Mus musculus: one gene and its partner. The protein of the gene in region 2 purifies or fractionates together with the protein of the main gene of each other region. This does not show direct contact. Links are inferred from orthologs where the notes say so. Each region holds a gene or a part of one and is shown on either strand. Other genes may lie near its edges.

The links.
Region 1: the proteins of Atm (region 2) and H2ax purify together in Homo sapiens (affinity purification with western blotting; 11 studies listed by BioGRID and IntAct, with this or other methods). This does not show direct contact. The link is inferred for Mus musculus from reciprocal best matches to the Homo sapiens genes ATM and H2AX.

The regions. Positions count from the first base shown.
Region 1 is NC_000075.6:44,329,036-44,344,506, reverse strand, and holds H2ax (histone H2AX), read right to left. Parts: upstream 9,793-15,471; 5' UTR 9,746-9,792; coding exon 9,314-9,745; 3' UTR 8,430-9,313; downstream 1-8,429. Other genes in the region: Hmbs (porphobilinogen deaminase), read left to right, coding at 465-497, 2,436-2,489, 2,809-2,881, 3,243-3,292, 3,376-3,431, 3,742-3,819, 4,782-4,859, 4,954-5,029 and 6 more; Dpagt1 (UDP-N-acetylglucosamine--dolichyl-phosphate N-acetylglucosaminephosphotransferase), read right to left, coding at 11,385-11,450, 11,536-11,691, 11,857-11,944, 12,415-12,603, 13,305-13,389, 15,370-15,471. UniProt on the Homo sapiens protein: Variant histone H2A which replaces conventional H2A in a subset of nucleosomes. Nucleosomes wrap and compact DNA into chromatin, limiting DNA accessibility to the cellular machineries which require DNA as a template.
Region 2 is NC_000075.6:53,445,586-53,461,327, reverse strand, and holds part of Atm (serine-protein kinase ATM), read left to right. Parts: intron 1-207; exon of another isoform or gene 208-317; coding exon 318-437; intron 438-1,380; coding exon 1,381-1,615; intron 1,616-2,351; coding exon 2,352-2,525; intron 2,526-3,836; coding exon 3,837-3,950; intron 3,951-4,619; coding exon 4,620-4,834; intron 4,835-5,352; coding exon 5,353-5,560; intron 5,561-6,498; coding exon 6,499-6,612; intron 6,613-6,880; coding exon 6,881-7,039; exon of another isoform or gene 7,040-7,047; intron 7,048-7,657; coding exon 7,658-7,796; intron 7,797-7,892; coding exon 7,893-7,975; intron 7,976-9,638; coding exon 9,639-9,779; intron 9,780-10,693; coding exon 10,694-10,810; intron 10,811-13,125; coding exon 13,126-13,275; intron 13,276-15,742.

The DNA of each region.
Region 1 (15,471 bases), about 9.1 Mb from region 2:
GGAGAGCTTAGTGGTTAAGAGCACTGACTGCTCTTTCAGAGGTCCTGAGTTCAATTCCCAGAAACCACATGGTGGCTCACAACCATCTGCAATAGGGTCTGATGCCCTTTTCTGGTGTGTCTAAAGAAGAGAGCAATGGTGTACTCATATACATAAAATAATTTTTTTAAAAAGTAAAAGATAATAAAAATTGAAAAGGAAAAAAATCTTTTTGAGTTGTTCTGTGCAGTGGACTTGAGCGAAGAGGCTGGCTATGTCGCAATCCTAATTCCCGCCCAGAGGAAGGCACCGCCCCGTTGAGGGAGGGCAGCGGACGTGACGCAGAGCTCAGCAGGTCCTGCAGCCGGAGTGAAGTGCGGGCTCGGGCCCCATGTGCCTTCAGTCCCGGCCGGCCCAGGTCGCCGGCTTCTGCAGACACCAGGGGACCGCAGCGGCACTGCCGCGCCTGCGCCCTGGGCGGAGTCATGTCCGGTAACGGCGGCGCGGCCACAACCGCGGTGAGTTCTGAGCCGGTGACCGATGACCCGCACTTCTCGGGGCTTTCTGGGTGCAATGATTGGCCCCGGGTTGCCATGTTCTCGTCGTCTATTGGTCGGAATAGTTAGCTGTCATTTTCCCCCCCCCCCCAAGGTTTTTTTTAAAGGGCCAGTAACTAGGTTGCCCTAAGGCAGGGAAGGAGTGATCTCGAGCAGTGGGGGCGGGGTTGTGAGTGGAAAGGTGGTCCGCCCTGGGATTCCATCCCTGTAGGCTCTGGCTGGATCTCTGTTGTTCCCGGCCAGTAAAGGATTATACACAGACAAGATCCTTTTCACGAAGAAGGGGCTGAGGCAAATCCAGCTATCTCGGAATACGATCCACTTCATTCAGGGGAGAGCACACCCCACTTCTTAAAACTGTATACAAACATCTTGGAGGTTACACGCCTTCTCCCGTTCACCGTTATGAAGTCACCCAGCCTTAGCCACCCACAAAAGTCCTAGTAGAGACACACCTGAATTGCTATTGTGAGCGGGGGAACCCACCCCTGGGCCTTGTCATTTCTGGCCTGCCTGGAAAGTTCTGAACTTGTGGGCAGGCTGCCTGAGATAAGGCTGAGCTGGGAAGCCTGCTTATCTCCTGCCCAGGCAGTAAGCAGTAGTCTTGGCTATGAAAACATTTTTAGAGCACAGGGTTAGGGTAGGAAGGCCTGGATTTCAGCACCCACTTTCTGTCTGTTCATAGCTGTGAGATGTTTAGACAGTAATTTGACCACTCTGCATCTTTGCTTCTGTGACACGGGTGGAAGTACCTACCCTGTCTAACCTAGTAGGGTTGTTGCAAGGACAATATGCAGACACGGCTCAAATGCTGTTCTGGGTCAATTAATTAAAAAACAAATTGTTTGAACTTAGCAATTCCTTTCTATGGGCTCCCTGTTGTCCGAAATTTCTGTGTTATTTCAAGCCCAGCTAAATTGCAAAGGCTATCTCAGAGTCGTTTGTTGGAGGGATCTTCAGCAGTGGAGTAGACTGGAGTCCAAGAGCAAGTTTTCACCTTCAGTGACCAAGAACTTGAGTGTCTGGTTATAGAAGAACCTGTGAGATGAGGAACCTGGTGCAGGGAAGGGGGACAATCTGTACAGTGACTCCTGTCCCCTTTGTATCAGACTGCAGAACCCAGTTCTACCTGCTTGGCCCTAGACACCTTTATCCAAGGCGCCTTAACAAAAGAAAGAGGTGTGTCCTTTTGAGCTCTTGGCTCTGGCTTAAGACACCAGAGGAAGCCAGTAGGCAATGACTGTTAGGCAGTTTATTCTTGTAGTCTTCTGGGACTTCTTGAGGCATGAGGTGGCCTTTAATTTAACAAGCCCTTGATGGGATGATGTTCCCAAAGTCACCCAGCCAAGGGCATGAAAGGGCTGTACATTAGCTTGGTTGATTTCAGTCCTTGTTAGGAGTACATCCTGGTGGTACTAAGGGATGCTTAGTGACTCACCCAGGGCTTAGTGAGGCCTTCTCAAGTGCCTGAGTTGTTGTGGACAGTGAGCTTGTTCTCTAGCAATGGGAGGCTTCGGCTGTCCTGCCCCAGCTTCTGTAGGCCCCACCCTCCAGCAGGGCCCACCCTCACTGTGCCGAGGCTGATGGGCCTTATCATTTTGCCCACCTGGCTGTGTGCAGCCCTCCCACTCAGAACCTCCTTGGCCAGGCTGGGCTTTGGGGCTCAGTGTCCTGTTGCTGCTGCCACAACAGATCCTATTACAGCTTTTCCTCTGGTCTTGCTTCTCTGGATCCCGTAGGAGGGCAGAAGGTACCAAGGAAGATTCAAGGACCAGTCCTGGGAGTCTCTCCTTCCTAGCAGCCTCACCTGCCTAGGACCTGGGAGTCCTCTTTCCTAAGCCTGTGATCCTAGTTCTTTGAATGAGGAAAAGATCGTAACCTAGGGACTTTCTTCTGCAGGAAGAAAACGGCTCAAAGATGAGGGTGATTCGAGTGGGCACCCGTAAGAGCCAGGTGAGTACAGACATAGCGCGTTGTCTCAAGAATTGTAATGCTCACAGGGTCACTAGTGGGACCCAGAGACTCACAGGGTCACTAGTGGGACCCAAAGGCTAGCATTGAGCAAATAAGAGTGTGTGAGAGTCGATTTCATGGGGTACAGAAAAGAGAGTCTCTGGAGCAGGGAAATGATTGGGGTACAGAGAAGGGACTCTCAGGGCAGGCCTCATGTGAGAAGTCTAACCCCTTTCATTGCTTTCTTGGTCCATATGAGGGTCTGAGCCTGGGCCAGTGGCCAGGGGAGGTGAGAAACCATCTGACTCTCTTTCCCCAGCTGGCTCGCATACAGACCGACACTGTGGTGGCGATGCTGAAAGCCTTGTACCCTGGCATACAGTTTGAAATCAGTAAGTTTTCTTGAGAGGAGTGATTGGTAGTGAACGGGAAGCCAGTGAACCGGAGGACAGGGCATCTCTGGCTTTGCCTGTGGTCAAAGCCTGCCTTGTAAGACTATTCTGGCTGCTTGTGAAGGGAAAGAAAGATTGTCTCCTGTGCACATCTCCTCCAGCTGCCCGGGCTAGCCTGACATTTCATACTTTCTGCTTTGGGTTCTTTTATGAGTATGTCTGCTTTTTCTGTCGGTGTGTGTATCTGAGAGAGTAGGGGCTGGGTCTTCTATGCCTCAGACTCCACTGTGAATCCAGTCAAGGCCTGAACGAGGGGTGACTCAGTAGGTGTTAATGGGTATCTGATTGACTCTCTCCTCAGTTGCTATGTCCACCACGGGAGACAAGATTCTTGATACTGCACTCTCTAAGGTAACGCCAGTCCTTGTCCCCATTCTTCTTGTCCCTCTCCCACGTGTAAGGGGTTCACTCTGAGGCTCTCTCTTGCCTGGCAGATTGGAGAGAAGAGCCTGTTTACCAAGGAGCTAGAAAACGCCCTGGAAAAAAACGAGTGAGTGAGGATGGAGGAATGTGGTACCCCGAGCCTAGAACCCCAAAGTGGCTCCCCAATATTGGCAGGACTGTCGGGTTAGACTGTGGAGCTCACAGGCTTTCACAGAGGAGAGAGCCTTGCCTTGGAGTAGCCTAACTACCTGGGGAATCAGACTGTCTGGGGAAATGGGGTAGAGTAGTTGAGAAGAGACCAGGTCTTAGATCTTAAGATGCTATCTTCCTGAACGGTCAAGGATGCTGGGGTGGGTGGTGGAGGTAAGGTCACCTACTCAAAGCCTCTCTCTGTGTCCTCCCCATGTCGTCTCCAGAGTGGACCTGGTCGTTCACTCCCTGAAGGATGTGCCTACCATACTACCTCCTGGCTTTACTATTGGAGCCATCTGCAAGTAAGCGGGGAGGACATGCATGGGAGGGAGGGCCCTGGGCAGGATTAATCCTACTGTGGGAATCTTTGAGTTTTTTTTTTTGTTTTGTTTTGTTTTGTTTTTTTTTCCATTTGGAACTTGACCGCTTAGCCCTCTGTTTTGAAGGTTGTCAGACATAGTGTGGCAGGAAAGCCAATTGGTTGACTATTTAGAGTTTGTGGAGTTGGGCTCAGTGGCACGGACCTGAAATCCCAGCTACTGGGGAGGCTAAGACAGGATCAGAGATTCTGGGCCAGCCTGGGCTACAGAGGGATTTGAACCAGCCCGAGGAACTTAGATTGTGCCTTAGGGGCACCAGAAGGCTGGCTTACAGTGGCTTAGGTGGTAAAGGCATTTGCTGTCAAGCCAATGACCTGAGTTCAGTCCGTGGGGTGCACTTGGTGAAAGAAGAGGGTTGAATCCCACAAGTTGTCATCTGACTCATGCATACATGCTGTAGAATGTTTATGCTCCTCATCTCATCAATGAAAATGGAAACAATCAAGGAAATGAAATATAAAACCTGCTGGGTGGTGGTGGCGCACGCCTATAATCCCAGCACTTGGGAGGCAGCCAGAGGCAGGTGGATTTCTGAGTTCGAGGCCAGCCTGGTCTACAAAGTGAGTTCCAGGACTATACAGAGAAACCCAGTCTTAAAAACAAAACAAAACTAAACAAAAACAAACAAACAAACAAAAAAAAAACCAAAAAAAAAAAAAAAAAGAAAAAACAAAGAAAGAAATATAAAACCTTTCCAAAGAAAATAAAATGAATTTGGCCTGGTGGCTCATGCCTATAATCTCAGCATTCAGGGAGCTGAGGCAGGAGGGTTATTGTGAGTTAAAGGCTAGCCTGGGGTACAGAGAAAATTTTAGGTCAGCCTGGGCTAGAGTTAAGCCTTATCTCCAAATGCTAATACCTTTATTTCATCATTTGCTTTGCAGACGGGAAAACCCTTGTGATGCTGTTGTCTTTCACCCAAAGTTTATTGGAAAGACCCTGGAAACCTTGCCAGAGAAAAGGTGAGTGGGCCTAGTGTGCGGGGGAGAGAGGGCTGGACAGTGGAGAACAGTTGGCAGCCTGGGTTAAGTTTAATTCTAAACTCTCTCTGAGCAGTGCCGTGGGAACCAGCTCTCTGAGGAGAGTGGCTCAGCTACAGAGAAAGTTCCCCCACCTGGAATTCAAGAGTATTGTATCCTTTCAGAAGAAGGAGGGGAAAAAGAGGGAAAGAAGGACCTTCCGAAGCAAGTGGTCCATGCGGTCAGGGGGTCGTCTTTCCAGCTGTCCGTCCACCCACCCACCCACCCACCCACCCATCCATCCATCCATCCATCCACACATCCACAGTCCTTTAATGTTTTCCTTTTTTTTTTTTTTTTTTTTTCCTGAGACAGGGTTTCTCTGTGTAGCCCTGGCTGTCCTGGAACTCACTTTGTAGACCAAGCTGGCCTCAAACTCAGAAATCCGCCTGCCTCTGCCTCCTGAGTGCTGGGATTAAAGGCGTGGGCCACCACTGCCTGGCACCCTTTAATGGCCTGGCAATGAGGACAATTGCAAAACAAACATGGTTCCTCGTTCTATAGAGCTGACATGTTAGACAGACAGGCAGGCACTGCAGTGCAGGTAATACTGACCGGTGACCACTCCTGGTGGCAGGGACAGAGGCGCTTCTGCTTTTACTTTCTGTGCTGCTAAGTGGTTTTGGTTTTTACAGTGAATATGTGATATGTTTCATAAAACTAATTTTAAAAACAGTGTGTCCTGGGGCTAGAGAGATGGCTCAGGGGTTTAAAGTGCTGGTTGCTTTTCCAGAAGACCCCGGTTCAACTTCTAGCACTCACACCGTAGCTCACAACTATTTCGTATTTCAGTTCTAGGGGAACTGATGCCCTCTTCTGGCCTTTGGAGACAGGCATGCAAAACACCCATGCACATAAAACTAAAATAAAACTTACAGAGCAAGTTCCAGTACAGCCACGACTACACTATGAGATCCTATCCAAAGAAGTCTTTTTTTGTTTTGTTTTTTGTTTGTTTTGGTTTTTCGAGACAGGGTTTCTCTGTATAGCCCTGGCTGTCCTGGAACTCACTTTGTAGACCAGGCTGGCCTTGAACTCAGAAATCTATCTGCCTCTGCCTCCCGAGTGCTGGGATTAAAGGCGTGCTCTAACCACGCCCGACTCCAAAGAAGTCTTTTTATTTTATTATTTATTTATTTAGTTAGTTAGTTTTTCGAGACAGGGTTTCTCTGTATATCCCTGGCTGTCCTGGAACTCACTTTATAGACCAGCCTAGCCTCCAACTCAGAAATCCGGCTACCTCTGCCTCCCAAATTGTGGGCTTAAGGGCATGTGTCACCACTGCCCAGCTTTTTTTTTTTTTTTTTTTTCATTTCTACCATTTTTCTAGACAGGCTTTTTCTGTATAGCCCAGCCTGTCCTGGAACTCTCTCTGTAGACCAGATTTAGCCTTGAATTCATGGAGATCTGTATCTGCCTCCAGTGCTGGGATTTAAAGGTGTATACACCACCACTCAACAAAAACAAAAGTTTTTTAAAAGTTAGCTAGAGGGGGGAAAAGAGACTGTGGGGCAGAGGGTGCACTGGGTAGGTCTTGACTTCTCCTTAGCAACGCTCCACAGCGGGGAAACCTCAACACCCGCCTCCGGAAGCTGGATGAGCTGCAGGAATTCAGTGCCATCGTCCTGGCTGTGGCTGGCCTACAGCGCATGGGCTGGCAGAACCGGGTGGGCCAGGTAGGAGCTGCCCTGTTCTGCTTCCCATTGAATCTGCCTCTCTCCTGCCTTGATTTCTTCCTGACCATTCTGCCAACAACACTACAACCAGAAGCCCAGGCTAGGGATATTGGGACTCATTGCTGGACTTCCTACCTGTGCCTTCCCCAGGCTTCCTAGATTGGCAAACCCTAGCTCACTGCCTTTGAACATCCCCTATCCCACCATCTTGTCTCTCTCCACAGATTTTGCACCCAGAAGAATGCATGTATGCTGTGGGTCAGGTAGGTTTGCCTGGAGAGAACCTGGTTCATAACCTTTGGCACCTGCTATCCATCAAATAAGATGTTTAGAGAGGGACAGGTTTGGTTGTTATGCATAAGACCCAGGGAAGCAGGTAGAGGTGTGTTTCTCATGCTTAGCTCTATTACTAGAGAAGATCAGGCCTGTTGTTCTTTAGGGAGCCCTAGCCGTGGAAGTCCGAGCCAAGGACCAGGATATCTTGGACCTAGTGAGTGTGTTGCACGATCCTGAAACTCTGCTTCGCTGCATTGCTGAAAGGGCTTTTCTGAGGCACCTGGTAAGATGGGCTCCTCCCATGGTGTTGTGGGGAAACCAGGAAGGGCAGTAGGGAGAGAGATTTGTCAAGTACTCAGTATGTAATGTTTTGTATGTATGGAGAGGACCTTGATCTGGCCCCTTGAGGTCTGTGGTCAAAAGTGGTGTTAAAGGCCCTTAGAGCTCAAAGGAACATATCATTGCAGGAAGGAGGCTGCAGCGTGCCCGTAGCAGTGCATACAGTGATGAAAGATGGGCAAGTAAGCCAGGGAAATGGATGAGGGGAGGGACTGTCATTTCCATGTGCACCGAAACATCTAAGTAACTTTCTTTAAATATCCTGGTACAAACATTTTATTTCCTAGCTGTACCTGACTGGTGGAGTCTGGAGTCTAGATGGCTCAGATAGCATGCAAGAGACTATGCAGGCCACCATCCAGGTCCCTGTTCAGGTATTGACTGGGAGATGAGGAAGGAATAAATAGAACTGCTTGTAATCTTCCTCTTACCAAAATTGTAACCTGTCATCCAGCAAGAAGATGGTCCAGAAGATGACCCACAACTGGTTGGAATCACTGCCCGTAACATTCCAAGAGGAGCCCAGCTAGCTGCTGAGAACCTGGGCATCAGCCTGGCCAGCTTGCTGCTCAACAAAGGAGCCAAGAACATCCTGGATGTTGCACGGCAGCTTAATGATGTGCGCTAACTGGTCTGTAGGGCACAGGAACCCTGGCTGCCACTCCACTGCCTACTTCTGGCTTCCAAGTGCCCTGTGCTCCATCCCTAGGGATGTGATTATCCCAGGAAATTGAACCACGGGGTTGTTGAGACTTCCACTTTGGAAGATATGCCTCACCTTGGGGCCTCCATATCTGCCTTTCCCTCAGTAGTTGGGGGCTTCATCTCTTTAGAGAAAGTCCATGCCAATCTTTGAATGTAACCAATACCACTAATAAACCAGTTTAGAATGTGGTTCTTCTGATAGAGTTGGGGAAGATATGAATAAACCCAAAGCCCTTTTAAACTTGAATTGAGTCTGAGACCTTTCTGTTGTAAAACACGCTGTGATTTGCCTCATGTTCTCAAAAAAAAAAAAAAAAAAAAAAAAAAAAAAAAATCAGCCTTCAATTCCTACAGCCTGTCTTCAGTCAACGGGATCTTCGTGGATTACATAGCCTTTCCCACTCCCACGGCCTGCAGAAAGGGAAGTCCCATTCTCTCCCAAGATGTGCCAGGCACATGGCTCTACCACGGAGCTATATGTCCAGCCCTGGGACTACAGCATTCAACATTAAACCACTTTTTTAAAAAAACAAAACCAAACGATCCTTTAATAAAATTAGCCCATTAAATCTCCCCACTTAAGGTTCTAAACTTGTAATAGCTGCAAAAGTTCCAGTTCAGAAGCCAGAGGCTCAGTCCAGACAGGGATTCACCGGCTTGTGCTGGTATCTAGGTGTTTGGGTTGTAGTTGAGTCGCTGGGGAAGAGGGGATGGATGGCTAGGCCCGGCTGCCAGTCGCCTGCGGCAGGTATAGAACTCTTGTCCACAGGCCGGTAAGCGTCTCTCTGACCCTTGCCGGGAGGTATTCCTAGAGAAACTGGGTTCACATTACAACCATTTTTGGCCCCGCCACACCACACTGGCCTACGAATGGCGACAGGGTCAACTGGTATGAGGCCAGCAACGGTGACACCGAAGGAAACAATGTGATCCATTTCTCCTCCTCTAAGCCCGGCAATCAAGTCACTTTTCAAAGGTCCAGGCGAGGGCTAAGCACCAAGCTGAAGCAAAGACGCCGGGGCTGTAGCTGCGGAGGGACTAACCTTCAAGCCCACCGCGGCCGGACGTCTGAGCGAGGGGCCGAGACTCCGGGAAGGCGCCGCAGCCTCTCCGCACGGAGCCGTCGTCCACAACCGAGAACGGCGAAGCGATGTCACGAGCTCCGGGATGGGCAGGTGCCGCGGCGCCCGCGTCCTCCGTGGCAGAACCGGAGGCCGTGCGGGGTAAGGGGAAGAGTGGCGCGAGGGCGGGGAGGGGAGAGGAGGGAAAGAGAAAGGATGGGGACGCGGCAAGCCGCCGCAGCCCGAAGTGGCTCAGCTCTTTCTGTGAGGGAGGTGGTGGCCCTTAAAAGGGCCTTTGTGGAGGTGTGGGGAGGGCTGGGCGGCCTCGGCGCGGGCCCCCTCAGTACTCCTGAGAGGCCTGCGAGGCCTTCTTGCCGACCGCCGGCGCCTTGGGCCCCACGGTGGCGCTGCTCTTCTTGGGCAGCAGCACGGCCTGGATGTTGGGCAGGACGCCGCCCTGCGCGATGGTCACGCCGCCCAGCAGCTTGTTGAGCTCCTCGTCGTTGCGGATGGCCAGCTGCAGGTGGCGCGGGATGATGCGCGTCTTCTTGTTGTCGCGGGCCGCGTTGCCCGCCAGCTCCAGGATCTCGGCAGTGAGGTACTCGAGCACCGCTGCCAGGTACACCGGCGCGCCTGCGCCCACGCGCTCGGCGTAGTGGCCTTTCCGCAGCAGCCGGTGTACGCGGCCTACAGGGAACTGAAGGCCGGCGCGTGAAGAGCGCGACTTGGCCTTGGCGCGGGCCTTGCCGCCGGTCTTGCCGCGTCCGGACATAGTGTACGAGGTAGAAGAGCTGCGAACAACGCTGAGAGACCACGAACTACCAACCGCCGCAGTCAACGGTCGCCTGGCCGGCCAAGCCCGGCCTTATAAACTCCCTGGACACGCCCCCGCTTCCTCCTGATTGGTTCCTTTTTTAATACCCACCTCTGGTTGGTTGCAATTAACCCTTCGGTGACGCGCCTTAGCTGAGAGAACGCGCCCAGTGATTGGTCCAATTTGAAAACCTTTTACCCGGGGAAGAAGACAAGGCGGAGTGGCCGCAAGCCGGAGGCTGCTCACCCCTGGAAATGGCCAATCCGTGTAGAGCGCGCGAAATTTAAACGCTACGGCGCGACAACAAAACCTGAAGACTAGAAGGGTGGAGCTTGGAGCTACCTCTACAGTTTCTGGGAAATTTGAGTCGGTCTTTGGTCTTAAAGGAAAAGGGTCTACACTATAAGCAGCGTTCTCCTTCCAGGTTAGAGCACTTCCCACTCCCTCCTCTAATCTGGTAGACGGAGGGTTTATTTGTTCATTATTATTTTTAGGTTTGTTTGTTTGTTTTTCGAGACAGGGTTTCTCTGTGTAGCCCTGGCTGTCCTGGAACTCACTCTGTAGACCAGGCTGGCCTTGAATTCAGAGATCCGCCTGCCTCTGCCTCCCAAGCCTGAGGATTAAAGGCGTGCGCCACCACCATCTGGCTTTTGTTTGTTTGAGACAGGGTTTCTCTGAGTAGCCCTGCCTGTCCTGGAACTCAGAGATCAGCCTGCCTCTGCCTCCCTAGTGCAGATTAAAGGGAGGGAGGGTTTAAAAGAAACGAAATGAAACCTCCTAGGAGTTTAATCCTATGCCAGAAAATGGAGCACTGTGATCTTTTATGCTATCACAAGTTTGTGCTGCGATATTTATTCAACATGTTCTGTCTGGTCTTAGTTTGTGACAGGCCTTTTTTGCAAGAAAGGGTCTGATGGAACAGAGATCGGTATCCTATTGGGAAAGGTACCCGGTCTAACCCTTCCAATCTATCCTAAAATGCCTATATAAAAAATAAATATACCAGACTTGGCATATAGTTCAGTGGTAGAGCAGTTAAGTATAAGGAAGCCCCGGTGTTCACTCCTGAAGCACCACGAAGGTTAAAAAGGACAGAGGGAGGGGATGCTACACTAGAGGAACAAGTAAAAGGCAGTCCTTTATTGTCACCGTTCTGAGCACATGGCCCTGCCTCTACGCTTCCCAATCACAACACTTCATTTGATAGTCAAATGTGAGGTCACCTTGGAGTATGTAGCCCTAACTCTAGCCCTAGCCCAGGTTCTCTCTCAAGGCTCAGGTGAATTCCTTTAGAGTTAGCGCTCTGAAAGCTGAGCTACGAATATTTGCATAATAGAGGCTACAAGCCCACCTGGTGAGGCTGCAGATGGGACAGAAAGGGAGGGCAAGGCAAGATGAAAGCCCTAGGCAAAGTCCAACTAGCGGACTTCAAGTCCAGCAAGGTGTCCATCCAGGATATCAGTAGTCACAGATGGCAGAAGCTGAGAACAAAAGTGTCAGCGAGGCCTGGACCAGAGGGTCATCTCGGACCAGACAGAGGCTGGTCCTGGCTGAGGTCCAATGGAGACTGTGAGGTAAAGGGCAGCTGTCAGGGAGCTCAGACATCATAGAAGAGTCGGACGAGTTGGTAACGAATGGAGAAGGTGGCGGCGCTGCTTAGGACCTGGGAGAAGTGGACTGGAATTAGAAGCAAGGCCAACCAGAGATGTAAACGCCATGGCATTACTAAGCCCCACCCTGAGCTGTACCTGCAGGAGCAGCAGGAGCAGGGTGAGGTTTCTCTCATGTATAGGCCCAAAGACTTTAAGTAGCAAGTTGATGAGGGTCATGTTGTTACACTCAGTGAAGGCACCGTCCTCACTCTCACCTTGGTGAACTGTCACTAACCGGAGGTTCTCTGCTACCTGCAGGGACCAGAGGTGAAGATGACTTCAGTTATGCAGATCTACTTCACGAATAGGGATCTTCTTGATGTTCCCAAACTCCCCTTGGGCCTGAAAAGGCCTAGGTTTCTCTTTTCCCAAGTTAAGGATGGCGGCCTCGGGCCTTACCTCCTGTTACCTTGTTACCTTTAAAATAAAGGTGCCCAGGAAAGAGAGGTTCTTGGTCTTGAACTTGGAATAGCTCATTTCCAGTTTGCCTGTCTTTGCGTTGAGTCTGCAATGGGAAGATAATTTCATTTGACTGAATCAGAGACCTCTGCACCCTGGTTACTAAGAAGAGTACTGAGGCCGGGCGTGATGGCGCACACCTTTGATCCCAGCACTCAGGAGGCAGAGGCAGGCGGATTTCTGAGTTCAAGGCCAGCCTGGTCTACAAAGTGAGTTCCAGGACAGCCAGGGCTATAAGGAGAAACCCTGTCTTGAAAAACCAAAAAAAAAAAAAAAAAAAAAAAAAAAAGAGTACTGAGTACTTATGTACTGGAGTTGGTTTCTGGCTCCGTGATCAGGGCTGTTGTAAGCATTACATACTATGTAAGTAAACGAGCTTCGTAAATTACAATGGGCTACCCACATACAGTCGGCTCATCTTTCCCCTCATGTTTTTTTTACATAGGAAATGCAAGTTGGCTTTAGCTATCCCAAGTCAGAAACTATTATGACCCTTGAAAGCCCCAGAGTGGTTACCTGGGCATCCGGTGTCGAGGGCAGGGGATGATATGGAAGAGCTGAGGCAGTGAGTAGAGGAAATTGAATACTTGTGGCATAAAGAAGAGCAGCATGGTCTTGCTGAAGTGTCCCAAGATCCCCACCACGGCAAAAGTCATGCCCGCAAAGTAACAGAAGGTGTCTCCCACAAACACGCGGGACGGGTACCTGTGTGGGAGAGAGGATTTCAGCCAATGGCAAGAGTTGTTACTGACTCTTTCTTTCAGTCACTCGCTCTGAGTAACAGGCCAGCCTTGACCCTGAGTTCTAAAAGAAAGGCTGTTCCAGAAACTCTATAGGCCCCACGGCCCCCAACTCATCTACTCCTAGGGGCTACACAGCATTTGTTCCCAACTCCTGCAGGATAGGCAGGGATTCCACACCAGCACCAGGCTGCTCTGTAGCTCACCGGGCAAGCAGTCACCTAGCGAGTACAAGGTCATGGATTTGATCCCCAGCACGAGGGTGTGCAGATGGTGGGGTGAAGGGTGGGATCTAATAGCACATGCCTGTATTTCTAGGCCAGCCTGACAACACCGTAAGTTCAAGGCCAGCCTGGGCAACTTACTAAAACCCTATTCTCAAAAAAAAAAAAAAAAAAAAGTCTGGGGATACAGCTAAAATCTAAAGTGCTTGCTTAGCATTAAGACCTCAGATTTAATACCCTGTTCATAAACACAAACACACACACACACCAGACGAGTGCTTGTGCTCACACAAGAGTGGCAAACTACTACCAATGGCAGAGCCAGAGAATATCCAACAAAAGTATGAGCAATTTTAGTCTCTTCATTAGAAGCTGGGTTATGTCAAGCCCATCTCTGCCACATACATCAATCATTTCCTCTCTCATCCATAGGCCTACATACCAGTTGTGGTAAAGCAGTCCCAAGGTGGTAAAGAAAAATGGTATCATGAAGTAAAGGGAAAAGATATGATCATCTCGATAATCACCTTTGGAGCAAAGCAAACAGAAGGGAGTCAGTACCGGCATCCCGCTGTGTACCTTGGTCTCATTTGTATCTAATTTATGTTCCCAGCCATTAGGAACACAGCACCCAAGTCACTTTCAAGACCAACTCTACCCCACCCTGCCACTGCTGCTCCCTGACTTCCTATGTAGCCAAGTCTGGCGGGCACCTCCCATGTGCTGGGATGACAGGTGTTTGCCACCGTGCCCAGCTCTAACTTCCCCTTTCACATCACCCAGGCCATTCCCGATACTCTCATTACTTTCATTGACCTATAAAAAAAAAAAAAAAGCTAACAACAGACTAGAAAGATGGCTCAATGATTAACAGCACTAGCTGCTCTTTCAGAGGTCCTAAATTCAATTATTCAATTCTCAGCACCCACATGGTAGCTCACAACCATCTATAATTGTAGTCTCATCGAATCTGGTGACCTCTTCTGGTGTACAGATAAATGTACATGTAGATAAAACATCCACATGCATAAAATCTTTTAAAAAACAAAACATAAAAAAACAACCAAAAGGCTAGTGACTCCTAATATTCAGAAGACACAGGAATATCTCCTGGTGTAAGACCAGCCTGGGCTACATTGTGAGTCCCAGGATAGCCAGAGGTATGGAGAGGAAGAGAGAGAGACACAGAGAGAGACAGAGAAAACAACAGAAAACCTAGTGACTATCTTAAATGTGGTTTAAAAATTCCAGCTGGGATTTGATTGAATACCAGTTTTATTTCCTAGCTGTGTGAAATGACACATTGAATTTTGGTAAGCTTCCATTTATCTGTCAAAAACTGGGTACTGCCAGTTATACAGAGTCATTTAATTTAAATGAGATAATGCTTTAAATATGCTTAGCTTTAGCTGGGAGACAAGGGGAGGCACACATCCCTTTACTCTCAGAACTTGGAGCTCTGTGAGTTCCAGGGCAACGTGGTACATCCCTGTCTCAAAACAAAGCGCTTAGGCTTAATAAGCACTTGTTGATGTCCAACACGACCAAAAGTAACTAATACTCAAACTTGGGCTTACATAGAGACTAAGACTTTGGGAATCATACACCAGAGGGAACCGTAAAATATTTCAATATGAGGGGCTTATTTTAGAATTTGTTTTGGATAATTTGGGAAGGGATGAAAGGAAGTAGACATGTGCTCCAAACTGGGAGCACAGAAGGCCAAATACATGAATAACTTAACTTTTTTTTTTTTTAAGAGTAGGAGGAAGCCAGGTGTGGTGGTGCAGGCCTGCAATTCCAGCCCTTAGGAGACAGATAGGATGATCATAAGTTTGAGGCTAGCCAGGGTTACATGGCAAGACTGTCTCAAAATAACAAAACAAAAGGAAGCAGGAAGAACTAAATTGTTATTTGAAAAAAGCTGTACCCTCTCATGTTAGCTGCGGGATTGTGGTCATTTTTATATTGCTAAGTGTTCTGGGTCTATCTGTAATCAGACAGGGTTAGGAAGGCAAGAGTCTTTCCCCACTATGGTCAGAGAGTGATCGTACCTGTTGCTGGGGTTCTGTGAAGCTATTTATGCCCAATAGAAATAATTGGTCGCCGGGTAGTGGTGGCACATGCCTTTAATCCCAGCACTTGGGAGGCAGAGGCAGGCAGATTTCTGCGTTCGAGGCCAGCCTGGTCTACAGAATGAGTTCCAGGACGGCCAGGGCTACACAGAGAAACCCTGTCTCGAAAAACCAAAAAGAAAAAAAAAAAAAAAAAAGAAAGAAAGAATTGGTCTAGCTATTCATGACCATCAAGCTATACATGATAGCATTAATGCTTTTGTTTCTCATGCTTAATTCCTTATTGCTGTGTACAAAGTAAATAGCTCCCATTCTAAAATCACTGTTGTCTTGTCATTCCCCACCCCTTACACACACACAAGAAACTCTCTAGAGTCATACCAGGCAATTCCCTTAACACCCAGACTTCTCCTTCTCCCCAATCTCACCTACCTTCCAGTTCCACCAGGTTGAAGACAATGATAGAAGCAGAGATGACTAGTGACTGACCGGCCTCTAGGCCATTAATGCCCGCCAGGATGTTGATGGCATTGG
Region 2 (15,742 bases):
GCAGGTTCAAAGCCAGACAGACATGGCAGAACTGGGCTTTACACTTAGAACTGTATAATCCCAAGGCTGGTCACACTGCTGTTTCACCACTGTGTTTGTGTGTGTGTGTGTGTGTGTGTGTGTGTGTGTGTGTGTGTGTGTGTGTGTAGTCTTTACTGCTGTTTCACCAGAGTCTCTCTCTCTCTCTCTGTGTGTGTGTGTGTGTAGTCTTTTCAGGTCAGCAACAAGTGTATGACAAGTATTGCTCAGCCATAGAATTGAACCTCTATCTCCCTGAGGACGTGTCAGTTTCAGATGATCTGCTCTCTTACCCCTAGGGTGAAAGAAGTTGAAGAGTTGAGTAAGGGCAGCCTTGAGTCTGTATATTCGCTGTATCCCACACTTAGTAGATTGCAGGCAATTGGAGAACTGGAAAACAGTGGCGAGCTTTTCTCAAGGTAGGTGGCTTGCGGGTTTTGCTAATCCTGAAGCGTGTTGCTTGTTGTGTGTTGTGTGTCAGCAATGGAAACATGTGATGGGCATGATTGATTATTATTTGCTTTGTTAAGAAAGGTTTATGTGGGCTCATGGCTTCCAAAGGTTTCAGCCTGTGATTAGCGGCTTCTGTGTTGGCCTGAATGAGAGGTTGTATTGATGGCACACAGCAGGAGGGAAGGGGAGATCTGTTATAAAATAAACTGGATAAATTTATTAATGTGTGTGTAGTAAACACATTCTAGACATTTACCAACTGAGAAATGTAATGCCAGTAGGTATAACCTAAGAATTGAAATCGAAGCTCTTCAGAACCTTAATTTTAAGAGTATATAGAGATGCCTTTGTCTAAAATACTGTAGATCTGTTGTTCTGGGGTCGTTTGTGACAGAAGTAGAAGCTTGGTTTTGATGAACATGCACAAGCAACTGAAATGATTTCTCATCTTTACTTCATTATTCTCTTAGTCTCACTGGATCTTTTTTTTCTCCCTCTCAACACAAGTCCTGAAAGATGGGATAGTGTAACATATTTTAGGCATGTGAAAGGCAAAGTATTCATACAAATGAGTTGTTTTCTGTTTAATAATGTTAGCAGATGAAATGTTTTCAAGTGCCCGTTGTTTGTTCAATGAACTGATTTTTTTGACAGCTATGTATAGTGTCATTTGTAGGTAATTAATGAAAATTAATTGATTTCCTTGTAGATATGTCTGCTTTCACCACAATGAGGACTAGCAGAGTAGACGTGTCTTTATGATAGGTCTGAATGCAGCATTCTCGTTTCTGAACAAAATCTGTTTAAAGGCTACCTTTTAAAGTACCCATTATCTGTAACTACATGTAACTTTGCACTGTCCTAAGTATTTTTCATTTGCTCAACTAAGTTATGTGACTTGACTTTCAGGTCAGTCACAGACAGAGAGCGCTCTGAAGCATACTGGAAGTGGCAGAAGCACTCCCAGCTTCTGAAAGACAGCGACTTCAGCTTTCAGGAGCCTCTCATGGCTCTGCGCACAGTCATTCTGGAGACCCTGGTACAGAAGGAAATGGAGCGCTCTCAAGGAGCATGCTCTAAGGACATTCTCACCAAACACCTCGTTGAATTCTCTGTTCTGGCTCGAACCTTCAAGAACACACAGGTAAAAAGCTTATATTTATGTTACCTCACTTCTTGGGCTTTTTTTATTACTCAGATACCAGAAGGTATAATGATGTGAAGAAGAAATATCACTGAAAATTGGAAATCGTTGTATATAAAGTTATTGAAGATTTTAGGTTGACTGGGGCTTGTACTTAACTTACAATCCTAGTCACTTGAGAGGTTGAGGTAAGAGGATCACAAGTTCAGAGCCTACTTGCGAAAGACAATGAGTTCATGGTCCCCTTGAAAAACCTAGTGGGACCTGTCTTCAATGTATAAAAGGGTTGGGACTATGGATGTATGATAGCACGCTTCTTTGCATAGCTAATACAACAAGGCTCTGGGATCAAACCCCAGTATCGAGTGAGAAAACAAAACAAAGCTTTCATACTGGAATTAGACAAAAACTTGAGTTTAAACATTGGCAAGGCAATAATTATCATTTCTCGCCCCCAATTTCCTGGTTATAAAATAAGATTCCCAAACTACTATAATGTAATGGTAACAATTCAGTGATCTCTCTCTCTCTCTCTCTCTCTCTCTCTCCCTCTCTCTCTCTCTCTCTCACACACACACACACACACACACACACACACACACACACTTGTCAGACTTTGTGGTCTGCAGGTTGGTAAGTAAGCAGGAAACTAATTAAGATAGTCTCTGAAAAATGAGGTTCTCAGTGGATATCTTACCAGTAAATGTATTTATTTCCATATGCATTTTCACTGTAGCTCCCTGAAAGAGCAATATTCAAAATTAAGCAATATAATTCAGCTATTTGTGGAATTTCTGAGTGGCATTTGGAAGAAGCACAAGTATTCTGGGCAAAAAAGGAGCAGAGTCTTGCTCTGAGTATTCTCAAGCAGATGATCAAGAAGTTGGACTCCAGCTTTAAAGATAAAGAGGTATGTATGTGCTTTGTGTGCACGTCGGTGGGGTGGCTGCATCCGTGATTGAATGTTGTCAGAAAGCATTTCTGCTTCAGAATATGTCTGTAATGACTACATTAAGGTTTTGAAATTACGGGTCCATAAATAAAATAATATGAAAAGAGACTTTGAAGATTAATGTCAGAAATGAGACTTGAAAACTTTCTTATTTAAAACAAATCTATCAGTCTGTCTTGTAGTATATTCATTCAGTTTTTCCAGAAGTCAAAAATAATATGTAGGAAATAAATGGAAATACATGTTATAACTTTGAAGTAGCAAGGACAAAAATAGAATTAGAAATGTCTGAGAGAAGAAAAGTAGGAAACAAGTTACAACAATTTGTCATTCTTAAAGTGTTTTTTTTTTTAAGGTTTATTTATTTATTTATTTATTTTTTAAGATGATGATAATTTTTTTAAAGATTTATTTATTTATTTATTATATGTAAGTACACTGTAGCTATCTTCAGACACTCCAGAAGAGGGCGTCAGATCTTGTTACAGATGGTTGTGAGCCACCATGTGGTTGCTGGGATTTGAACTCCGGACCTTCGGAAGAGCAGTCGGGTGCTCTTACCCACTGAGCCATTTCACCAGCCCCCAGGTTTATTTATTTTATTTATATGAGTACACTGTCGCTGTCTTCAGACACACCAGAAGAGGGCATCGAATCCCATTACAGATGGTTGTGAGCCACCGTGTGGTTGCTGGGAATTGAACTTAGAGGACCTCTGGAAGAGCAGTCAGTGCTCTTAACCCCTGAGCCATCTCTCCAGCCCATAATTTGTCATTCTTAGTGCTCTGAAAATATCACATCCAGTGGACAGGACACTGCAGGGTCATGAAATATTAATTATAACAAAGCATTAGGTGCCAGTAGAATTTGCTTAAATATCTCCTAAATCGTATAGTCCCTAACATATGTGGTAGTTTTATACCTCATTTTTTGCATGGACAAATAGGTAATAATGATATATCTAATTTATAGTATTCCTGTGAAAATTATGCATTAATATATATAAAGCTATTGGAAAATTCCTGGCATTTTAAAATAATAATTAATAGTATTAATAGTAATAGCAAATTGTTAGTAATAATAATAACAACAACAACAATAACTAGACAGTTCACAGTGGTTGTTTCATGAACTGGCATACTTAGAATTATTTATACGGTAAAAGTATGAGGAAAATATTTTTAATTGTTTTTTTTTCTATCTACATGGAAGATACTTTTGTAATCTTGAAAAGGAATTACATTTTAAGTTTTTTGCTTCTTGATACAGAATGATGCAGGTCTCAAAGTCATATACGCAGAGTGTCTGAGGGTTTGTGGCAGCTGGCTGGCAGAAACTTGCTTAGAAAACCCTGCAGTCATCATGCAGACCTATCTAGAAAAGGTAGGTTGTTGGCACAGCTCTGAACATTATTGTTTAGTATAACTATACTTGATCCTTTTATGAAGACCATGTGTATCTTAAAAGCAAACGCAAGTGTGGTTTCAATCCTTCAGCTCCTGCTGGGGCTCTGTAATCCGTTAGAGCAGAAAGAAGCAAAATGCCACAGAGGGAGGAACAGCTTTGAATGCATGAATGTCTTCCGTCCACTCTTTATACCCACCCCTAGCGTTCAAGAAGTCATTTCTGATTACTCTGCTTTTATTCTACAAAATGTCCTATTAAACATAGAAGCCATCATTGCTATTTGTCCAACTACTTACGGTAAGGGTTAGGACTTCACTTCTATAATCCCCATTGGCCTTCCTGTTTCTCCTTCTTTGTCCTTTAGTCTCACTAATTTGGGAAATAGGAAGTTCAGTATGAAAAGTAAGATATAAATGTCGGGCTGGAGAGATGGCTTAGCCATTATTATATCATAAACATAAGATATAAATGTCTTTGATACTAAAGAGTTCTTTTTTGCACAGTTCATTGCAGCTGTTACCTGATAAGGTTCCATGCCATTAAGTTTCACATTTACATAGATTTGAGTGGGCTACCTTGGTCTGAGAGTCTTTAGCTATATCTATGCATGTAAATATGATCTTAATGGATTGTGTGTTGTTGAAGGCGGTGAAGGTTGCTGGAAGTTACGATGGCAACAGCAGAGAGCTCAGAAATGGACAGATGAAGGCCTTTCTCTCGTTGGCAAGGTTCTCTGATACTCAGTACCAGAGAATTGAAAACTACATGAAGTCATCAGAATTTGAAAACAAGCAAACTCTCTTAAAAAGAGCCAAAGAGGAAGTGGGCCTTCTAAGGGAACATAAAATTCAGACCAACAGGTAACTTTTAGCTGACGGTTTATGTTCGGCTGAGGGGCTGCTGACGTGAAAACTGCCCTGACCTTGTCATCTGAATTATAGTTTTGAAAACTTAGCTTTTTAATAGGCTTTCTCAGTCCTCTAGTGGCTAATCACAACTTCAGTCAGTTAATACACTGACATGTTCTTCTATGAATAATTAATGTCTTGGTTTAGCTCTTGGCAGAGTACGTGGATGTTAGTTTGGTTTTACTAGAAGCTGACATTAAGTATAGCAGACTTGCCTACTTTGATATTGTCACAGTACTTCTAAGTCTGCATTGGGTTTTTGTATGTTTGGAGTAAGCAGAGGATTAACTTAGAGTCCACCCTGTCCTTGGGTGTGTGGAAGACCTATTAATTGCAGGTGTGACAAGTCCTTTTATTATATTTAGAATTTTTTTTGGAGTGAACACCTTGTATTTCATTGATGTTGTCTTATCATGTATGATTTTATAGTTATGTAAAGGTTTGTGACTGTTATGTTTGAATTTATCAAGATACACAGTAAAGGTTCAGCGAGAACTGGAGCTGGACGAATGTGCTCTCCGTGCACTGAGAGAGGATCGCAAGCGCTTCCTGTGTAAAGCAGTGGAGAACTACATCAACTGCTTACTAAGCGGGGAAGAACATGATCTGTGGGTGTTCCGGCTTTGCTCCCTCTGGCTTGAAAATTCTGGAGTTTCTGAAGTCAATGGCATGATGAAGGCAAGTCTTACCCAACCCAGCATTTGAGCATACACTTTAAAAACTGAGGCCTAAGCCCCTGCAGTGTGGGATTTTGCACATCCCTGTGTACCCCTCCTAATGGGTTTGGTGCTCCATAAATAAGTACTTTATAAACTCTCAGTGATACAAGTGTGTGTGGAGGCGAGAGAATTTCTGTAGGTGTTTTACCTCTGCAGATAACACAGAGGAGTCCATAGGGGGGAATGCTAGACTGGAGAATAGGAAACATAAAAATAATGTGATGCTAAGCAAGAATTTTCCTTTGTTTTATTTGTGCTTTTGAGGGATTTTTTTTCCTAATACAGTCCTTTTACAAATAAAAAAAATTCATAACATGTACAGGAGTACTTGAAAGTTTTCATTGAAAAAATATCTTAAGATGTGGTCATAAAATAAATATATAAACTAAGTATATATTTAGTTTAAAGGTTAAAGATAAAATGTTTCTCCAGAATGAAAAGAATGGTAAGACTCAAAATCAACAAAACCAGTCTTTTCTACTGTATGTGTTAAACCTCATTACTTCTGGCATGTAGGGAAAAGAACTTGATTTTGTTACCCCCCCCCCACCCCATCCCCCGACTTCTTGGGAGTTGAGACCACAGTAGACTCAGATTCGTATCTATCCTCCTTGGAGTCACTGGACTGGATGTGGGGTTAGCATACCAGCTCTGGATGCAGTGTGACTTAGGGCTAAGGATTTTTGTTATCACTGAATCACTAGGTAAATTTTATTATCACCGAGGCGTCGAATTAGAAAGACTTTCAGATAGGCCAAGAGGTAAGGGAAATTGCCTAGTTAGTAAAGTTTTGACAGCCACTAGGGTGTACTAGTGGAGGATCATTATTTTAGGTACCATAGATATAAGATTATATTACAAACATGTTTCTATATTTTGTATTTTTTTTAATGGCAGAAAGATGGAATGAAGATTTCATCCTATAAGTTTTTGCCTCTCATGTATCAATTGGCTGCTCGAATGGGGACCAAAATGACGGGAGGCCTAGGATTTCACGAAGTCCTCAATAATGTAAGTATACTTGAAGTCAAAATGTAATAACTACCTTTTATGTTAGTAAACATGTGAAATCAAAATATTAAACTTTCTCTTTCATTGCAGATAAGCTTGTCTCTTATTTCTGACATTCCTCTATAGCTCTCTCTCACAGATATACACACCCACTACTTACTATACAATGATGACATTAACTTGAACTTGATGTAAAGTAAAATTAAAAATGTATATTTAAGGTTTTTTTCTATTTGCACGAAACTAATAGTTACTACTTTTCTGATAGCTAATCTCTAGGATTTCACTGGATCACCCCCATCATACTTTGTTCATTATACTGGCCTTAGCAAATGCGAACAAAGATGAATTTTTGAGCAAACCAGAGACAACAAGAAGGAGTCGAATAACCAAAAGTACATCTAAAGAAAACTCTCACCTTGATGAGGTATTTGGGTAAATGCAAGTACCCTTTTGTGTTGTGATGGTCATTCTTCCCCAGAATATTCCTTTTTTAATTCTCAGAGACTTTAAGAATGTATGTTTCTGGTAGTATTCTATATCCTTTATTATGATGATGCCACCCAGAATTGGTTAACAATTTCTAAGCTGGTATTTTAAAATACCAGTTTGATTTTGTTTTCTGGCAGCAATGGGCAAAGAAAAAGCAGATCTTTAAAATGATTTATTTGTAACATTCATGAGTGGTTCTCTGCACCATATGTACATCTGGCCCCTACAGAAGCCAGGAGAGGGTTTTGGATGTCCCTGGACCTGGGGTTGCCATGTAGGTTCTGAGAACCAAACCATGGTCCTCCCAAAGAGCAGCAAGTGCTCTTAACCACTGAACCATCTCTCTAGGCCCAGAAAAACAGATTTTTGAAAAGTACCCAAGTCATTAACCTTGAATTTTTTTATGTGTGTATTTCATTCCCTGAGTGGGTGTTTTGTTTGCATCTGAGGAATTATAGTCCTTTCGTTGTCTAGATCTGTGCATGGATTCTCTTTGTATAGCTCCAAGAAACTTAAATGTTTAGTGGGTCTTGTTCTTTGTTGTTGATGGTAGGATCGAACAGAGGCTGCAACCAGAATCATCCACTCCATCAGAAGTAAGCGATGTAAGATGGTGAAGGACATGGAGGCGCTCTGCGATGCCTACATCATCTTGGCAAACATGGACGCCTCTCAGTGGAGGGCTCAGAGAAGTATGTGTGAAAGTACCACTGCCGCTGTCCAGCTTGACCTGCAGTGATAGTCCTCCGTTTACAGCTGTCACTAAAATCTATTTATTTTTAACGTAGAAGGCATCAATATTCCAGCCAACCAGCCAATCACTAAACTGAAGAATTTAGAAGATGTTGTTGTTCCCACTATGGAAATTAAGGTAATTTACTATTAACTCTTGATTTTTTTTTAAAGATTTATTTATTTATCATATCTAAGTACACTGTAGCTGTCTTCAGACACTCCAGAAGACGGTTAACTCTTGATTTTTAATAAGACTAAATTACGGGCTGGTGAGATGGCTCAGTGGGTAAGAGCACCCGACTGCTCTTCCGAAGGTCCGGAGTTCAAATCCCAGCAACCACATGGTGGCTCACAACCATCTGTAACAAGATCTGACTCCCTCTTCTGGCCTGTCTGCAGACAACTACAGTGTACTTACATATAATAAATAAATAAATCTTTAAAAAAAAATAAGACTAAATTACACATTAGTAGATTAAATTATTTGTAGATTTTTTTTCAGTCCAAATGGCTAATTATTGTAGTTTCATATCTTTCTACCTATAGGTTGTCCATTAGATTTTTTTCTTTCTTTTTTTCTCCCTTCCCCCACCTCTCTCTCTCTCCCTTCCTCCCTTCCTCCCTCCCTCCCTCCCTCCCTCCCTTCTTTTCTTTCCTGTTATCTCTTATTGTTATTTTAACTCTAGGGACTGAACCTATTATGCACTGGGGAAGCCTTTTTTATACGTTTAAGGCAGGGTCTCACTTTGTTGACTATGAACCTGCTCTGTAATTGAAGCAAGACTAGAACTTGACCATCCTCCTCTCTGTCTTTTGAGTACCTGGGACTACAGACCTGTGTCCCGTTCACTGTTTTTCTCTGTATTATTCTTTCTCAGTGTGTGGGTGTGTTTCATGCCCATGGTGATGGAACACTCTACCTCTGGTTTGCGGGTGGGCAACACCACTCCATCATTTTTGTTGTCGCCGTTTTGGTTTTTAGTCATTCAGTATGCACTGGGATGTATTGGCTGTGATGTAACTATATTATTTAGTAAAACAGTAGGTGTTATGGTACCTCTAAGTTGCTGTGTATACGTACTAAACACCTATTCATAGTGATCTTTTATTCCTAGAAGTACCATGTGGGCAGGATGTGTGTAACACTAAAGGTTACCATTTTAGAAGCTGATGCGTTAGGTCCATGGTACAGCTCTCTTTCTCCTTCCAATGTGTACACTAAGATTAGTGTTCTTGTTACTGAGTTTGACCCATTATTGCATCATGCAGGTTAACAGATACAGGCTATGTGGTTTAGCTGAATATTTCCTCTTTTAAAATTTTACATGATACTCTTGTGAATTAAATAATTCCTTAGATTTTTTTCAACATATGTAAATAACAACTAAGTTCTAGTTTTCAGTAGTTTTTCAGCAGTACTATTTAATTGACTTAAAATGCTGAAGATTTATGAAAAGATGTTTAAGAAAGTAAACTGTGTTATATGTAATTTTAAAAATCTGGGCAGCAAGTAAAGACACTTGCTGCCAATCATTTAAACCAGAGCTCTGCCTGGGTACCAGCATGGTGACACATATGTGTGGTCACCCAAATACACACACATACACACCAAGTAAATAAGCAAACGTAATAAAAATCTATCAGTGTCATTAATTCTAACTTGAATTAAACAAATTAGAAATTAGAAACCCAGCTGTTAATTAGCAGAGTTATCATTTGTGGTTGTTTACTGTTTATCATTAGTTATTCTCCTGTTTTGTTTGTCTGACCTATAATAATTATTTATCATCATTTATTAGGTTGATCCCACAGGAGAGTATGAAAATCTGGTGACTATAAAATCATTTAAAACAGAATTTCGCTTAGCTGGAGGCTTAAATTTACCCAAAATAATAGATTGTGTGGGTTCTGATGGCAAGGAAAGGAGACAGCTTGTGAAGGTAAGACTTCCTGTTTCTGGTATAGTCTTCAGAGGATTAATGCCATCAACATCAACAGCAGGATATTTAATTCTTACCTCATTTGGTTGTCTGGATCTAGCTTTATCCTGAATAATGACAGGTAGAAAACATTTTTGAAGTAGAAATACAGTGTGATAGAATCAAACTGCTTTTTAGAATTGTGTGTCTTCTCTGAAAGACTGTAATTTTTGTTTTTGTGTCCTGCTATTATGGATTAGAACCAGGGCCTCGCTCATGCTCATCTGCTTCTGAGTTACATCCCAGCTCTCCTTTAGGTTTTATTTGACACAGGGTCTTGCTAAGCTCCCTGGGCGGGGCTTGAATTTAAGACCCTCTTACCTGAGCCTCTGGAGAAGCTGAGACTGTAAGTCGGCAGTACTGGGCTTAGCAGGCTCTTGCACAGTTGATTCAAGAGAAAGAATTGCACACGCTATGAGCTTACTTGTAAAAAAGGCTTATGGTGGGGATTAGAACAATTTAAGGCCTGTACTCAATATCCCGGGCCTGACACAGTGCCACTTGCTCCTGAGAAGTAGCAGCACTCCCTGCTTTGCATTGCTGCTTAGGTGCTTTTGGAGTCTTGCTGAAAATAGAAGAGAAATGAAAGATTACTTTATTTGGGTGTTTTGTATTGTGCCTTCAGTTGAAGGAGTTAGTTTAGTTATTAGAGAAGCAGCTAAGAGGAACTTGGCCTTTGTATCAATCTGCTTCCCAGTTTCATAGGTTTTGTTTTTTTTTTTTTTTCTAAGTGAAAAATGACAGTAGGTATTAATTATTCAAGACATTCTGAAGATGAGTGTAGAAACTCAGATTGACTAGTTCTGCCTTTTCTTAGATGACTCTGTGCTTATAATAAAGTAAACTCTGCCTGTTCATGTCTGGTTGTTCTGAAGGGCCGTGATGACCTGAGGCAAGATGCTGTCATGCAGCAGGTCTTCCAGATGTGCAATACACTACTGCAGAGAAACACTGAGACTAGAAAGAGGAAACTGACTATCTGCACATACAAGGTAACTTGTGGTCCTGCAAGGTAGCTTGTGTTCTGCAGCTTGCCCAAGGAAGGTGCACTGTTTGGACCAAGAATGAGCATATGTTTTCTGTAAAAGAACAACTAGTAAATATTTTAGACTTTGAGGACCATTCAGGTCTTTTGTATATTGTTTAATTTTTACTTATGACTTTTTAAAATCTCTGTCATCTTTTGCTCACAAGCTGTACAGAAATAGACTGATACTGGTTTTGCTTCAGAGGCTATGGATTGCCACTCTCAGGTTGGACAACACAACTTTAATTTTCATTTTAGTATTATTTAATGTTGGCTGCCATTAGACATTTTCTACAGTCAACAGCAATAGTCTCCCTTTATTGTGGTAAGTAATGTGCTGTAGGGATTATGCTGCTGCTTATCTGTGCATGGTTCATTTTGGTTATTTCTGGGCTTGTGTTACTGCACACGGTGATACTCTGCACTGAACAGATGAAGTGAGCATGCATGCTTCGTTCATTTCACATTCTGGTCAATCTATTGGAAAGATTTTCAGAAATTGGATTGCTAAGTGAGAGGACACTGCAACCTTCATTTGGTAGATTTTACTGTAGGACAGTCAATGGAGTTAGACCCATTTCCATTTTCTCCACAGTTCACTTGAGAAATCCTCGGGTCCTGTTATTCTATCATTAGCTGATCTTTTTTCCTAAGAGGTGAAGGTTTGTCCTTTTCCGGCTTTGTTCCCACATTCTCTTCCCCATCTCCATCCTCTGTCACTGCTGTCTCAGGGCTTCTTGCTGCTTATCTTTCCCCAGGAAGATAGGAACAAACTGAAAAGCATTTAATTCACGTCTAGTTGAGAACCAGCTCTTTTTAGAACAGTCTCAGTGGCTGTTTCTTTATTTTCAGAAGGGTAAACTCTGCAACTATTTTCTCTAGACACTCAAATATTTTACTAGAAGATAAACACTAGTAAAATATTTTAAAGTGCATTGGAAAAGTGTTCCCTTCACAACAGTTAAAGAGTATGTATCATCATGTTCACTGCAGCAGCACAGATTCTAAAATTGGACCAGTACAAAGAAAATTATCGTGGTCCCTATATAAGAAGAGGGAAAAGGTAGTATGTATTATGGAGTGTTGGGACCCCACTTGAGGTTTAGAAATAAAGAAGCTGAGATATCTGTATAGTTGAAGGCTCTTGGCTTTTTTGCTGGGGCAGTCTCTCAGCTAGCTTCTAACTTAACCTGACTGCCATCCTGTCCAGCCATGTGGCGAGCTCTCTCTTTCTCTCATCTCTCTCTTTACATCCCTGCTTCATTTTTGTCCATGATTCTGTCTTTCTGCCAAGACGTTCTGCTTTCTTCTGCCCCGTCTCCAGCCACCAGCTCTTTATTTAGCAAAAGTCACATTTCTTTCTCCTATCAAAAGCTGCTAGCACAGTGGGAGAGGTCCCACAGCTTCCCCCCGCTGAGCAGAGCAGCAGGACTACACCACGTTCATAGGGTGGTGTCCTTTTGGCCAGATTGAAGGCGGTGTCACCTTCCATGGCCTCCTCCATGGCAGCTTGCTTTTTATCATGACAGTCTTAGGGAATCCTCTTTGGTGCAGGTGAGGAAGTGACAAACATTTACTTACAGAAATCAGGTAATGCACCATAGAAATGACAATACCAAATATCCTGCCAGCACTTGGCACTGCTGGCACAGCAATTGACAATTGAAAATACAAGGGCCACATTTACAACACCATTTGATACAGTATGTGTAGGTGCAGACCATCCCTATGTAACATGAATAAACTGCCTAGGAGTGGTGTTGACAAGTACAGGAGTGGATTTTAAAAATTAGGAAAATAGAACATGTAAACACAAACTTTGATTTGTCTTAAATGGGATAGCATTGAAAAATATCTGCTTATTTGAAAATAATGTGTGATAGTAAAATTTCAATAAAAATTTTTAAAATAAGTATTGAATGCTTGCCTATCAGGTATAAGGCCCAGAGTTCAATATCCCACACTGAGGTGCGGTGTGGATGGGACTGGAGGAAGTCAGAATACAGAATAAGCCTTAAAACATTTTCTGGTATACATTTCTAAAAACCCAGTGTATATGCCACCGACTGAGTTACATCCCTAACCCAAGACATCCTCAGTCAGTGCTAAAAACAAAAGTTAAAAGTCGGTAAAAGCCGTTTTGTTGTTATTGTTGTTTAAGATAAGATTTATTTTATGTGTATGAGTGTTTCCCTCACATACTTTGTACTGGCTGATGATCAATGGTCACCGACAGTTCTTTAATGTCTTTCTAATCAGAGATATTTGACTTCATCTCAGGTGGTTCCCCTTTCTCAGCGAAGCGGTGTTCTCGAGTGGTGCACAGGAACCGTTCCTATTGGTGAATATCTTGTTAACAGCGAAGACGGTGCACATAGAAGATACAGGCCAAATGATTTCAGTGCCAATCAGTGCCAAAAGAAAATGATGGTGAGTCGGAAGGTTCTTCAGTCTTTCACATTGCCACCTGATGTTATAAAATATAAGATACATAACCTCATGAGGTGATTGTTGACGATAATAAGTAAAAACAAGATGTAAACTTAACAAGATGAGTGCATGTGTGAATAGAACAGGGCTGTTTTTAAACAGTATGAAGAGAGGAGGCATGTGTCGTTACAGACCACATAAGCTTGGGCTTAAGGAGGGATAGGTGAGGCTGGAGTTGTAATCGACCCAAAAAGCATAGGTTTGCTGTAAAATGTTTACAAGCATGTATCCTGTAGGTGAAGAGAGACCCCTGTGAAGAATCAGGGTGTCAGATTTACTTTTTAGGGGGAGGGCAGCATTGAGCCAGAGTCTCTCTAATACTGGCTGTCCTGGAGCTCAGGATGTAGACCAGGCTGGCTTGGAACTCAGAGATCCACCTGCCTCTGACTCTTGAGTGCTAGGATTAAAAGCATGGATCATCATGCCTGGCTTCAGATTTACATTTTAGGAAGATAATTCTGACAGTAACGTATGTTGTGGTTTTGAGAAAACAGATTAGGGGTATTATTTGAATTAAGACTAATTAATGTTATGAATGAAGAATTGTGGGTAAATAAGAAATACGTTAAAGAGGCAAGACTGATAGAATTTGATTGATTAGAAGTGATAATATACTCGTAGAGAAAGATGTGAGGAAAATACAAGGTCCTTCTGAATAGAGCTTGAGTCACTCAGAAATGAAGTCAGCAGTCAACAAACAGGATCATGTGAAATGAAAAGGCATCTTTACAGCAAAGGAATGAGGTAATCAAATGTAAAGGCGGCTTCCAGAATGGGGGAAAGTCTTTGCCAGCTCTGTATCCAACAGAAGTTTAATAGCTAGATAAGCAAAGAACTTATAAAAAAAATAAGAAAACACATGACCAAATCAATAAATAGGCTAAAAAATGAACAGTTAGAAAGGCAAAGTCTGAACCAACCTGTGAATACGAGTGTTCTACTTCACTAGACATTGAGATGCTCTCCTACCCAAGTCAGATTGACAAAGAAGGAGCCTGAAGGGATGGCTCAGTGGGTAAAAAGGTTCCTGCTGCTAAGCCTGACCACCTGAGTTCAAATCCCAGGAGCCAGGTGGTGGAAGTCAAGCGCCAACCGCACAGGCTCTGCTCTGACTGACACATGTGCACTGCGGTACGTGCATCCCCAGCACCCACACACACACAGTAAAGAAAATAACTGGGCGGGAGAGATGGCTTCGAGGTTGAGCGTACTTGATACTCTTGCAGAGGACCTGGGTTCAATTCTCAGTGCATGCATGGTGGCTCACAACCATCTTCAACCCCATTCCAGGGGCTCCGACGGGGTCCCGAATGCTGCACACACATGCATGCAGGCAGAGCATCCCTACACTTAGTAAACTAAACTAAACCTAAAGTGAGTAATGAACGCAACAAATGCTAGCACAGATGCCCTTATATCCTGCTGCTGCTGCTGTAAACCAGTCCAGCCACCGTGGACGTTAATGTGGAGGTTTCTTGAAAACCTAAAAACACATCTTCCATATCACCCAGCTGTACTGTTCCTGTACCTGAAGGTTTCCCAGGTAGTCATGGTATCTAAATTCTAGAGGCAGTCTAGGTGTCAGGCAATAGGAATCAATAAGGAAAATGGAAATTTTTTAAAGGTTTAAAAAGAATGAAGTTACATTGTTTGCAGAAAAATAGATGCAGCTGGAAATAATAATACTAAGTTAATTAAACAGGCATTATGTATAATTTTTCAAATTTGTAGTTCCTAGATTTTAAAAACAATATGTATATATAGAATGAAAGAGAGCAGAACTGTAATTTTTTCAGGATTCAAAGCGGGGGAGGGTAACAAGTGAGAAAAAAAGAGAGGAAGCAGGCTGGGGAGTATACTCGGTACACATCTATACCTGGATGAAGTTCTATGAAGTAGACAAGAACAGTGTCCGGAAGGTGTGTTCTTCCCAGGTTTCTGGACCACGAGGCTAGCTGCGGTGTTTGGATTTGGATGCTGAGTGGGAAATGAGGTGGGACTTCATCACTCAGGTTAACGGAGGTGTCTGGGCCAGGTCAACACACCATCCTCAGATGGATGGACACCGAGCCCACTGAAGTTGGTAAACTCGGCTTCAGGAACGTAATCCATGGAGGGGCTCTAGAGGACAGAAGTCTGATGCCTCCATCCCGTCACAGTTCTTACCCCTGCCCTGAGATTACTGGGAGATTATTGGGAGCGCTTCTGGCATTTCCCATGCCATTTCTCCAAATGATAAGAACCTTCAAATTAGAATTTAGTTAAAAAGCGTTCCAACAGAGAGGGTCCTCAGTCGATTATCACTTGGATTAATGGTTTTCCTGACCAGATTGCTAATTTCTTGTGAGTAGAGTGTCTTTCTCACCTTTTATTGCCCCTATAATCTATTAGCTGTTTCGTGTACATG